Oryzias latipes: one gene and its partners. The protein of the gene in region 1 purifies or fractionates together with the protein of each later gene. This does not show direct contact. Links are inferred from orthologs where the notes say so. Each region holds a gene or a part of one and is shown in the gene's direction. Other genes may lie near its edges. The genes, in order: otud1, filamin-A and keap1.

The links.
Region 2: the proteins of otud1 (region 1) and filamin-A purify together in Homo sapiens (affinity purification with mass spectrometry; 3 studies listed by BioGRID and IntAct, with this or other methods). This does not show direct contact. The link is inferred for Oryzias latipes from reciprocal best matches to the Homo sapiens genes OTUD1 and FLNA.
Region 3: the proteins of otud1 (region 1) and keap1 purify together in Homo sapiens (affinity purification with western blotting; 3 studies listed by BioGRID, with this or other methods). This does not show direct contact. The link is inferred for Oryzias latipes from reciprocal best matches to the Homo sapiens genes OTUD1 and KEAP1.

What each region holds. Positions count from the first base shown.
Region 1 is NC_019878.2:19,217,444-19,221,785, reverse strand, and holds otud1 (OTU domain-containing protein 1), read left to right. Parts: upstream 1-1,422; 5' UTR 1,423-1,713; coding exon 1,714-2,988; 3' UTR 2,989-4,139; downstream 4,140-4,342. UniProt on the Homo sapiens protein: Deubiquitinating enzyme that specifically hydrolyzes 'Lys-63'-linked polyubiquitin to monoubiquitin.
Region 2 is NC_019865.2:4,648,974-4,652,622, forward strand, and holds part of filamin-A, read left to right. Parts: intron 1-375; coding exon 376-545; intron 546-2,455; coding exon 2,456-2,573; intron 2,574-2,682; coding exon 2,683-2,795; intron 2,796-2,946; coding exon 2,947-3,096; intron 3,097-3,183; coding exon 3,184-3,502; intron 3,503-3,649. UniProt on the Homo sapiens protein: Promotes orthogonal branching of actin filaments and links actin filaments to membrane glycoproteins. Anchors various transmembrane proteins to the actin cytoskeleton and serves as a scaffold for a wide range of cytoplasmic signaling proteins.
Region 3 is NC_019859.2:10,400,896-10,405,101, forward strand, and holds the start of keap1 (kelch-like ECH-associated protein 1), read left to right. Parts: upstream 1-1,276; 5' UTR 1,277-1,395; exon of another isoform or gene 1,396-1,399; intron 1,400-1,472; exon of another isoform or gene 1,473-1,490; intron 1,491-3,199; exon of another isoform or gene 3,200-3,258; intron 3,259-3,467; 5' UTR 3,468-4,206. UniProt on the Homo sapiens protein: Substrate-specific adapter of a BCR (BTB-CUL3-RBX1) E3 ubiquitin ligase complex that regulates the response to oxidative stress by targeting NFE2L2/NRF2 for ubiquitination.

The sequences.
Region 1 (4,342 bases):
ACAACTACAGAGAAATGTCGCCACTTAGCGGTTGTTTATGGTAAAACATTTCATTAAAACATTATGTCGTCGGACTCCCTCTGGTGGTCAAAACGCGAACGTGTAATTGTTGGAACAATGATAATGAAAATGTAAAAATATTTTTTTTGGGTTAATGGTAAAATAATGGGCACCATAAGCTCAGTATTTTAATATTTTTGTTCTCTTTTTTTTCCCTCAATGACAACAGATATTGTTGAATAATTTAATTAATTTCTCCATGTTGTGTAACCAATGTTTCCAGAATGTTCTTCCTGAAAAGATTGGATTACTTTTCAGCTGTGGGTTTAACTGACGCCAGTCGGATGTCTATTCCAAGCACGCAGATTGAGTTCCACAATCCACAAGCTCTGACAGTGTAAGTGTTTAAAAAAAGCTTCAGGAGCATATCTAAGCATTGACATGTCTGCCAATAATGTCCAATGGACATATTCACATGCACCAAATACTTTCAGCTCACAAACAAATTATGCTTTTACATGGTATTTTAAGGTTTGTTTGGATAAAAATTGACATTTTTATTGATATAAGAAAAAATACTTTTATTTTGCTTCTTTTAATGTATCAAAAGGTTGTGTTTTTCCATTCATAAGGCATCAATAATAAAAATTCATGAATTAAAATAAAAACAAATGACAAAAAAAATGTAAAACTTGTCTCAAAAAAGATAGATACAAAAAGACAGATACAAACAAGGCTTTTTAATTTAAAAATAGTTTTCTTTTTTTCTGTAACCCATTTTCAAATTAACTTGAGGTTCTGCGGGATTACAATTTTCCCTTATTAATGTTTTATTTAAAATGTTAAAAATAGATTTTTATTTTGTCATATAAAACTTTGCAAACCTATAAAACACCATTATTGTGAATTTTAGCTATAGATTTTTAATCATGAAAATGATTTTTGATGTTAAGTGTTAGGTAGCCAAATATACCATAACTTTGGGTTTAATTGAAAACGTTATAAGTACTAGGTTAGTAGTTAAGTTGGAATGTTAGAATCTGAAGGTTAAAAAATATACGAACTTAACTTTTTTCAAGTCTTTAGTTATTTATTTTTCTCCACTTACACAGTTAATAACATTTTCAACAACACGAGTTAGTCTGGACAATATAGGATGGTTAAGAAATGATTTTTTTTTTATTCCCGAAAACTCTTGTAACATTTTTATAATTTCTTTAACTTAAGATTTGTTTAAAATCATTCACAAAAATAGCATGAAATTAATAACAGCTATAAAAACAATCTACATAATATATTACAAAAATAATAATAAAAGTAAATGCAAATTAATAATTTGTGATTATAATCTGAGACAAATAAAATTAAAACATCCAAAAAACATTAAACGACGATGAGGGGTTTTATTTTGAAGTTTCCCAAACGGAACTGGTATTTTGTCCTCCGGGATTTGACGGGCTTTTACACTGAAGGGGTTTGGTTACAAACAGTGAAGCCTAAAATTAGGGAGGCACCCCAACAGCAGATGACGCCACACAGCTAAAGTGGACCTTGTCGTCGTCGTTGCGTGTCCCCGATAACAGGACTCGGGGCCATGGAAACGTTCCCCGCGAGTTTCCCGCTGTTGATGACTCCGGGGGTATTTTTAGCGCTCGTTGTCATCTTTTCGTAACTGCCCCGGCGGCGGTGTTCAGTATAAAGGACCGTTGGAAAATGCAGCTGTACAACAGCGCGCTCACACACTACCCGAAGTCGTCGCGGAAAGTTACAATAACTCTGTCTGCAGCCCCCGAGCGCCTGAACGGGACGCCGCGAACTTCCTCCGAGGTCGACTTTGCCCAACTTGACACAACTTCGTCAACTCACGCCGCTCCGCCCGCGGAGACTTCTGGAAACATGCCCGCCTTTTCGTGCTACGAGGCTGCTTCTACCAGGAGGCCGCTTTACTTCACCTCCACCGCCGAGATATTAATCCGCCGACCCGACGGAGTGCAAAGGCCGGTTCCCATTCACATCATCCGACAGCCCAAACCCCCCTCAGGCCGCCCCCACAAGCCCTGCAGTGACCCCGACCAGGAGACCATGGTGGACTGGACAAACCATCAGACTGAGGAGGCAGGCTGCACAGAACTGCCAGGAGGATCTGCTTTTAAGAGGAAGAAAACCACTCAATCCACAGTGGAATGTAAGGAGGAGGATTCTGGACCTTATAGGAGCAACGGATGGGCGTCATTCCATGAAGAGGAACTGGCCCCCTCAATGGTTGCCATGACGAAGAACTTCAGAACAGAGGATCTATTTGACATGAACAGTATGGAAAGTACACCACCATCAGGGCAGAACCAGACTCTGAAGCTCAGTGTCCTGCAGGAGTCGCCTCCGCAGGGGTCCCAGCAGAGAGACCACAAAGTCAGCCGGTACCTGGCTGAGGTGGAGAAGCAGAACAAGTACCTCCAGGAGAGGAACCAATACAGGTACCACATCATTCCAGATGGCAACTGCCTGTACAGAGCTGTGTGCAAAGCCACGTACGGGGACCAGACCAGGCACGGCGAGCTGCGGGAGCAGACGGTGCACCACATCGCCGACCACCTGGACGAGTTCAACCCCATCATCGAAGGCGACGTGGGAGAGTTCCTGATCAATGCGGCGCAGGACGGAGCCTGGGCCGGCTACCCGGAGCTCCTCGCCATGAGCCAGATGCTGAACGTCAACATCCACCTCACGACGGGCGGCAGCTCAGAGAGTCCCACCGTCTCCACCATGGTGCACTACCTCGGCGAGGAGGACGCCTCCAAACCAGCCATCTGGTTAAGCTGGCTCAGCAACGGCCACTACGATGTGGTCCTGGGCCGATGTCTTCCCAACCCAGAGTACGAAGACTGGTGCCGGCGCTCACAGATGCAGCGGAAACGAGACGAGGAGCTGGCAAAGTCCATGGCGGCCTCACTATCGAAGATGTACATAGAGCAGAATGGCTGCGTGTGAGGCCACAGTCTGTTCCTGATGGATGCTGTGGACTCTGCTTGGTTGCTTTAAATTATTATTCTTTTGTAAGTTTTCTAAGTTTGTCAGAAAAAAAGTGCAGTGCACATCGCAGACCATCTTTATTAGCACTTGTCAACTATTTTTCCATTTCTTTGTGTTTGTCTTTTTCCAAGTGGCACATAGCTGTATTATAGCTGCTCTCTTTTGCACAAAAGTCCTGTCAGACTCGTTTGGGAGAGTTGTATTTTGTGCTGCTTTCTTGTCATTTATTCCAAATGTTTGGATTGTTTTCTTTTTATTTTAAATGAAGTTTGTTGGGGAAAAAAACATGTTTTTATTTTATAAGATTGTTTTAACAGTTTTATTTGATTGTTTCCATAAAACTGTCATTCAGCATCGATGATCATGTCTTTTTAGTCGCACAACACTAATCTTATACAAACCCTCCCTTTAAAGTGCAGCATGGTGGGAAGAGATAAGAGATGCACGCTGCACTCTGATGCTTTGAAAGGTTAAAAGTTATGTTCTAGCTTGATTAGCTGGTGTCTTTTCTCAACTTGTGTAACATAGTTTCTTCAGAGCGGCAGGAGTTCAATAGAAATCTGCCTCTGAGTTGTGTGGCAGCATTTCCCATCATCCCTTTGTTTACACGCTCTCACAATAGCTTACAGTCCCAACCTATTATTTACCGATGCAACAAAAATGGCGAGCAATACTGGAGCTATCCGGCCTTACAGTTTGAGCCATATGCCTGCTCAGATGAAGAAAATGAAGACATACGTGGATCTCCTAATCTGCAAGTGAATCCATCAGATTGGACAACATATTTTCTACATCACAAACACGCTCTCTTTATAACAGAATTCTTTGTGTGTTCCTGATTTACAACAATAAAGAATAAAATTTATTCTAAAGAATAAAGAAATACTCAGAAATACCCATTTTAACTAAGTTTTTCTTTACAAATGTGCTCCCATCATCAAAAAAGGGCAAAAGAACATGTTAAAAAAACTGTTTTAATCAGAGTAGGTCTTTAAAATGGGAAAAAAAGTTTTAAAGACAAAATTTTCTGCAGAGTATTCAGTTACACTGTCACCCTGTTTATCCATGTTTTCCTAGATTCTTTGTTGCATTAAAGTAATGTACCATTCATTCAAAATGTGTTTTGTTTCCCTGTGGCAGATGACAACCTCACCGTGTTCCCATTCCATCCACTAGATGGCAGTGTAGGCTCCTCACATCTCACCACACAGATGTTTTTTATTTGATACAAATTAGGACGGAAATTAAAGGACTTCAAACTATAGGGATTAGAAAAATGCTAGACATCGTTACTTGGCGTTGAAAGAAGCCA
Region 2 (3,649 bases), on another chromosome or scaffold:
GCTCACTCCTGACTGACGAGAGTGGTTGCCATAGAAACTCAGGCTTGGACCAACCACTGGTTACTGACGATGTCTGACTCCAACATGGCGGCATCCTTATCACGAAAAAATGGCAACTGACTTGAATTCATTTAGTCTGAGGCAGATGGAAGGCATTTTCTATGAGTTGCGTCACAATCACCCGCTCTATTTTTCACAACCAAAAACCGCAGTACAGTTCTAACTGCTTATCAATAGTCCTTTAAAATCTACCAGAACTCTTCTGTAGTTTGGCTTTTTCAAGTTAAATCACTTGCTGTCATAAAATTAGGGCAAATTAAGCCATTTTTAAAAGTAAATGTTCTTTTTTTTTTCCTGCATTATTTCTGCTTTCAGGTGTGGAACTGAACAAACCCACCTACTTCACTGTGAACACCAAAGGAGCAGGCAAAGCTAACGTGGACTGCATCTTCACCGGTCCCAACAAAAGGGATGCTGTTAAAGACTTTGAAATCATCAACAACCGGGACAACACGCACACGGTCAAATACACCCCCGTGCAGCAGGTAGGCTGAGAGGCGCATCCGATTTGCAGATCAAACTCATTCGCATTTTTGTTTTAGAAAAAAAAAATCTTCCAATTGGAAACCCCACTCATCTCTGAGAAGTCCATTGGACTTGGTGAGGAGATAATTAACTGATTAAAATCAGCTGCAAAAGCACACACTTGTTTCCTGTTTATAAACAAACCAGATCCAGGAAGACACAAATTGCCGTTGTTAAACATGCAGAGAGTTGGGAAGTTGCGTTGGTCCTATTTGTAACATAAAAATAATTTGGGGAACAATGCTAAGGATGAAAAACAAAATAAGATGATTTTAAAACATCACATCAAGAGCAATATAAAGATTATAGGCCCTGATGGAGACGAAGTGACTTGATGGTCGCCAATCATTATCATAGTTTCCCAGGTTTAAAGACATTTGGAAAGAATGTCTGGGCCAGTTTTCAACACTCAAATTCCTCTTTGCTTCAAGGCTTTGGAAGAGGGAGATAAAACGACTGCAGTCACTCTTGGTGGCATGTTAAAAAAAAAAAAGAAGAAAAAAAAATTACAAGATGGCTGATTTGGTTTGGATTTATCCGGTTGGAGAAAAAATGTCTAATCAGTTATAACTCCACAAAACAAATCTGACCAAATTTAGCATAAATGGATTTTATTTAACACTTCTGGTATATTTTTCTACTATTGCAGTGTTTTTCAACCTTTTTTGAGCCACGGCACACTTTATCCCTGACAAAAATCCCGCGGCACACCAGCATCCCAAAAAAAAAAAAAAAGCAGAAATTCATGGTCTGTATTGATCGACAGCTCCCCCCCCCCCGCAATCTCACGTGGATTTTTGTGATAATTGTGGCAGAAAAAGCAGGAAATTGCGGCTGTTTTTTTCTAAGAGATGAACCACCAGCTAATGACGAGCTTTAGCTGGTATTTTTGTTAGAACTGAGCGACTTTATCAGCAGAATTAAGAGCAAGGAAGTGAGGACTTTAACCACTTCTGATTGGTCAGACTGATGACATGTGATTAAGCCTTCAAGAATGATTGGTGGAGACAGTTAAAGGGGCGGGACTTTTCCTTACACAGTTATAGCTGCAGCTAAATCGCGGCACCGTCATTCTTATCAAAATGTCTTTAATAGAATTAAATAAACACAAAGAAAAAGTAATTTTAAGATCTTTTATATTCCTTACTACTCAGTGTTTTATCAGGGCTTGTTGGGATACACAGAGAGCTGATTTCTTGGAGATGAAAAATGTTTTTAGATCAGTGAATGAGGGCAATTTCCCACGGCGCACTTGACCATCTCCCACGGCGCACTAGTGTGCCGCGGCACACTGGTTGAAAAACACTGTACTATTGTAGCTCATTTATTCTCCATAGACGGCATTGATAACCCCTTTGTAAACTTTTTCCTCTTTTTTTCTTTTTTTCTTATTTTGCTTAAAGTCACTGGACATTATAAATCTCATTTGTGTATTCTAATCCCTTTTTACAAACATAGGACTCCTGTTTATGCAGTTTATCATTGCTGAAAATGCATAATCTTGTCTATAAAAGAAAATATAAATATCAACAATATTGTTTTTCAGTTTTGGAATGTAAAACAGTTTCATTCTGCAAAGCTCAGGAAAGCATTCCATCATATTAAATATGTGACAAATAGTCAAATATTTGTTTTGTGAATGTTTTGTATAGATTATTTAACATCAGGAAATAAACCTTTAGTAGCTGCTGAATCTTTTACAAGGGAGGATTTTCAAGCTAAGCTTAAGATTTGGATTTTATAGAAACAAATGTTTCCACGGTGACCAGAAAATAGTTTTAAAAAACACTATTAACTGTATATTTCTTGTTTCATTAAAATAATTATCCATTTGCTGTGTTAAGTTCTTGCGCTGCTTCATTTCCATCAGGGACCTCTAACTGTTGGTGTGACCTACGGTAAAGATCCCATTCCCAAGAGTCCCTTCAGCGTTCCTGTAGCGCCCTCCCTGGACCTCAGCAAGATCAATGTGACCGGCCTTGGAGACAGTATGGGCTTCACTTTTATTGATCGTTAATCTCACAAATTGGATTTATAGGTTCTAACTTTAGGGTTGTGCTTCATCATTTATCGATATTTACTGTAATTGAATTGTAGAGATGACTGTTGGCAAAGACCAGGAAGTGACTGTCAAATCAAAGGGCGCCGGCGGTCAGGGAAAGGTTGCTGCAAAGGTGACAGGACCATCTGGGAAGCCCGTGGCCAGCAAGGTCGGTCTTTGCTTCAGTCAGACTTTTTCATGGTGGTGTAAAGCCAATCATGAGATCCGGTTACGGATAAAATGCACCAAAAACCTGCGGTCCAGGTAATCCTGACCATGAGTGTTTAATTTTAATTCCCTGTGTCCTTATTTTGTTTCAGGTTGAAATGGGGCTAAGCCCAGAGACCAGCCAGGTGAAGTTCATTCCCCGGGAAGTGGGGCCGTACCAGGTCGAACTGACCTACGATGGCGTGCCGATCCCTGGATCACCATTCACCCCCACAGCTTACCCTGCGTCGGACCCCTCCAAGGTTGGCCTCAGTTTATAGAACTGCTGTGTTCGCACATAAATCTGCTGGGTTGACTTCAGCTGTGACTCTTTTGCCTGACCCCCTTAGGTGCGCTGCTCCGGCCCAGGCTTGGAGCGTGGCAGAGTTGGAGAGACGGGGGAGTTTGTCGTGGACTGCACCAATGCCGGTCCAGCAGAGCTAACCATCGAGATCATTTCGGATGGTGGCACTGAGGCAGAGGTTCACATTCAGGACAATGGAGATGGGACCTACACCATCACGTACATCCCATTGTACCCTGGCTGCTACACGCTCACCATCCGCTACGGTGGCCAGGATGTGCCCAACTTCCCCGCTCAGCTAAGTGTTGAGCCTGCAGTCGACACCAGCGGGGTCCACGTGTTTGGACCGGGGGTGGAGGGGAAAGGTAAAACTCGTTCGGATTCAATGTTGGTTTTAAAGTGAAACTGATTTCATTTCCAAATTTAAAGTATCACTCAGATTACCATTTGATGTATTTTCAAAGAGTTCCCAGGGGTCCTTTCATTATGCTGTTTTTAGCCAAAATCCAAAA
Region 3 (4,206 bases), on another chromosome or scaffold:
TCAGTTATGAAAACACAGTTCGGAATTTTTATCTTGTGAATAAAGTTTCATTTATTAGCTGCGGCGGGTGTTTAAAGGATAAGAATTTATCTGCACTTGTAACTTATTTTATGGGAATTCAAGAAAACTTCAGGGCTGTAACTACAATACTTCTTTCTGTCAATCATCACAAACGTTTCCATTTTTCTTGAGATATCTGCGGCTGAAATACAGTCGAAGTGGATGAATGTGACAGTTTTCTATTTTGTGCTGAACTTAATGTAGCGACAAATTTTTCATTACTGAAAAATATGTTTTTTTATAACACTTGTAATGTGAATTGTATTTTGTTACCTTCCTTTTCATTCAAATAATAAAATATTTTCTTAGGCGAACCATCACTCTTTTTGCATTTTGTTGTGTGTGATTTATGTGGTCTGAAAACACATCTGGAGGAGACATTGACTCACATGCATCCCGCTCTTATTGTCTCAGCAAAGCACAGTTTATCAGTGGGTTAACAAAAGACTTGGTTTCATTGCTCTGGTTTTGTTTGTCGTTTGATTCTTTAACAATATCGAAATTTTCCCAGATGCTGATTGCAGGTTTTTGCAATACTCCTGCAGACAGCAGTCAGGCTTTCTTTCCCACACTTGAACACGTGTGCAGAAATAATCTATAAGACGGTTGTTTTTATCTCTGCTGACAAATGAGCTTACTGACATGACTCAACAGAGGCTTGACCTTTGCAGCTGTAACTGTTGGCTTTTACTGCCACCTTGTGATTTCTTTTAAAAACAAGGCTGCTATGTAGGCTACTACCCTATTGACCCGGATTTCACAGTTTGCAGGAGTGAAAAAACTTGGTGTGTCAGCACAAGCCAAAATGTGTTTTGGTCCCATCTGAAGCAAGGCAGATTTTTTTTCTGATAAAAAATAATTGTTAGATAAGATGATTGCGAGAGAGCTGCATCATGTTTTCTTTTAATGTAGATTGGTTCAGAGATTTCTGAGTATGAGTGACATATGTATGTTCTTATTATAAGATTGAATTGTTCTTGTGTAGATGCAATGCTTATTTAAGAGGATAAACATATGAGTAAAGTATAACTGTAATGGTTGTAACAGTTTTGTTAAGCAATAAGTCACAATTTTAACTCAAAGTTAACCTTTTGGCCTGGTTTTCTTTTTTTGTTTTTTTTTAATTCTGAGACTCCTTTCCCAATAAAAGCCTACCACCCCCTGACGCAAACACGACTCATTGCTCGTCAATGGAGGCGGTCCCGACGTTCAGGAAGCATGCTTTTATTGTGAAGGCCAGTTGACTAGTACAATGCTTAGTCACGGTGAGTTACAGCCTCCCCTCCTCCTTCCTATGTGGCGCACAGCTCGGCAGAAAACGTTGGAAATAAGAGAGTACGTGAGTTGCCTTTACTTTACAGTTAAATTTTAAAATGTCCATCAGTACGGTTTTGTCAGTTCGGTTGAACGGAAAGTAGGTTTTTTGGGCGGTAAGACTGAGTACTTACTCTTTGTTAGCATGTTTGTAGCTATCAGTTCTCAGACGTTACTCCACTGTCTATTTTAGGGGCTTATTTTGCTGCTGCCGATAGCGTTACCTCCACCTCGGTGTTTTCTTCCAATCAATGAGACCGCGGAATTTTTTATCTTTTTAGACCTCAGTTTGGTCCACCTTCATCTGTGTTTTTGCTGTTGCATGCCAGCTCTGTGGCAGTTTCAGCCGAAAACAAGCTTGTAGTAAGTGTAGATGATGACCTTAGTCAGTGTGGAGTGAAAGCTAAACTTCGCGTTGTGTGAAAGTTCTTCTAGGAAAGGTGCACGGGATGGAAATCTAATTCCATCCCCGGGCTTACATAAGAACCAGCTCCACTTCTGGGTCGCGTTTTGGTACATTCAGTTCCACTCTTTCTGGCTTGGCGAATAGCTCGCAATGAGTCACCAACGAGGGAAGCTCTCCTCCTCCACCACGAATGCCAACAAAACACGTTGGACGCTCTTTGCTTGTCTTCGGCCTCGCCCCCTCCGCGTTGGCTGTTTCGCACAAAGTTTGGCGACGAATCTAGAAGTGAAAGTCTCTCCAAGTTGTTGTGGTCTCCACAGATTTTCTGCAGCTTTTTTTTAAAGTGACAGCTATTGATTGCAGGCCCGTTTTTTGGAGTTGCACCTTTTGTATGAAAGGTGCTTTATAAATAAAGTTGATTCAAATGGGGGTTCCCAAATTGAGGTGCAGGGGTTTATTGAACTTTTTTGTTACTAAAAATGACAATGCAACACAAACTCTCATTTTTTTGCAATATAAATATCTTGAGAAAAAAGTAAAATGACATAATAATGTTTATGTTATTGAAAATGTTACACTTTTTGAGCTCCTTGCTCATTTGGAAAAAGATTTGAACCAAAACAAAATGCTCTGAACACCAGCTAAATAAATAAGTTTACCCTCTCAGTTCAATACCAAAGAGATGAAATGCCACATTCACCAGACTGATACGCTAGCTGCTTGTTTGTGAGCGATAGCATGTTGAGCAATATGTTCTGGAATGTTCTGTTTTCCTTGTTAGTCACCAGGAGGAAGAAAAGTGCAGTTTCAAATCAGTGTCATAAAGTGTGTTTCGTGTTACTGTAAGTGTCACTGGCTGACTCCACAGCAGCCTTTAAACACATGACTTTTGATAACAAAATAGTCTTTTTCCTACTCTACGAACTGTAAAACACTTGTCTTTTTATCTCGTCCCTCAATACAACCTATGGTGTGTTGGTTATATAAGTAATCGTGTTAGGATTGTTGCTGACGGACTGACTCTTCCTATTCAGAGTTCACCAGTCAAATTGGCCACAGTCTGCTCTTTGTCTTTCATATCCCTGTTGCTTCATGTTCTGTAAAGGAGAAGTTGTGATGACAGTAAACTGGCCTGCATTCACTTTGTTGCACCCTCCACCCCTCTGTCATTTTAACATTATGCAATAGTCGAGTTGTTGTCCTCCCGTGGACCCGTGCCCATTCTGTCCTTGCTGACGTACTTTTGTCCAAACCAGCCTGGAGAGCAATCTCTGCCATGTTTCAGTCATGTTCTTGCCCCACCAAGCCTGAAAAATTCTCATGTTCATGTCTATCTTCATGACATGTAATAATTAAACAAAACAATGGGTTTGATTAACTGAAAATAATTAGTGTTTTCTATGTTCTTCTTACTATCAGCTGGATTGGTCACAGGATAAGAGTAAATACTTGTCAGCTGGATTTATGCCCAATTGAAGGTACTTTAGCAGTGTGTTTTTAAAGTCAAATATGTTGTTTTATTTTATATCTTTAATGTTAGTGTTTTTAGACTTTTGTTGTACACGTCTGTATAAAAAGTATATCTTTACAGTGGCATGTTAAAAGGTTCTTAACTGGGATCATGTGGTGACCACAGAATTTATCTGAGGCTTCCTAACACAAACCTTTTCTCTCCTTCTCCCCTCAGCTGTCGGCTAAATTCCCTGCCTGCTTGAAAGCAGCGGCACAACAAACGATATCCAGCTCTGGAAAATCTTAAGGAAGTTTTTTTTTTTCAAGTATAGACTTCAGTTCTTCCTTCTCCGTTTCAAAGAGCTCTCAGACCCACCAGTGACGCCTTTGGATCTCTTCTTGATTATCAAACAACAAGCAGTCAAACTGTTGGATTCCTACACATTTATCTCAACATTTGTTTTACTTTTAACGGTCATAGTTTAGCTTTGATCCATCTGATGAGTTGGTTCCTTTAGGGAATTTAACTGACCAACATAGATTTAATAAGAGACTTTCAGAGCATGATTTAATTGGCTACTGCCATATATTTCTTTTTATTCCTCCAACAAACAGGCATGTTTAACAGGCTTCTGTCAGTATCATGCAGGTGTGGAAAGACAGAGAGTTTTGTGACAAATGCAGTTGATCTAAAAGAAATCCCTTTGATTCCCGACTCTGTAGTTTAAACTTAATTACAGCAACATCAATCTTTAACTCCCATTCAGCATGCTGGAGGGCCAGTGTATAACGGCGTGCCCAGCTGGAACTGGCATCTCTCAAGCTATTTTCAATGTCATAACTCGCAGCATGACTCAGCTTGAGTGCTAAACAGAGCCAGGACATCTTCATGTGGTCATAAATAAGACTTTTGCAGAGACTAGGAAGGACAACAGAGACGCTGTGACAACTGGAAAGACTGGAGCTCTGCAAAA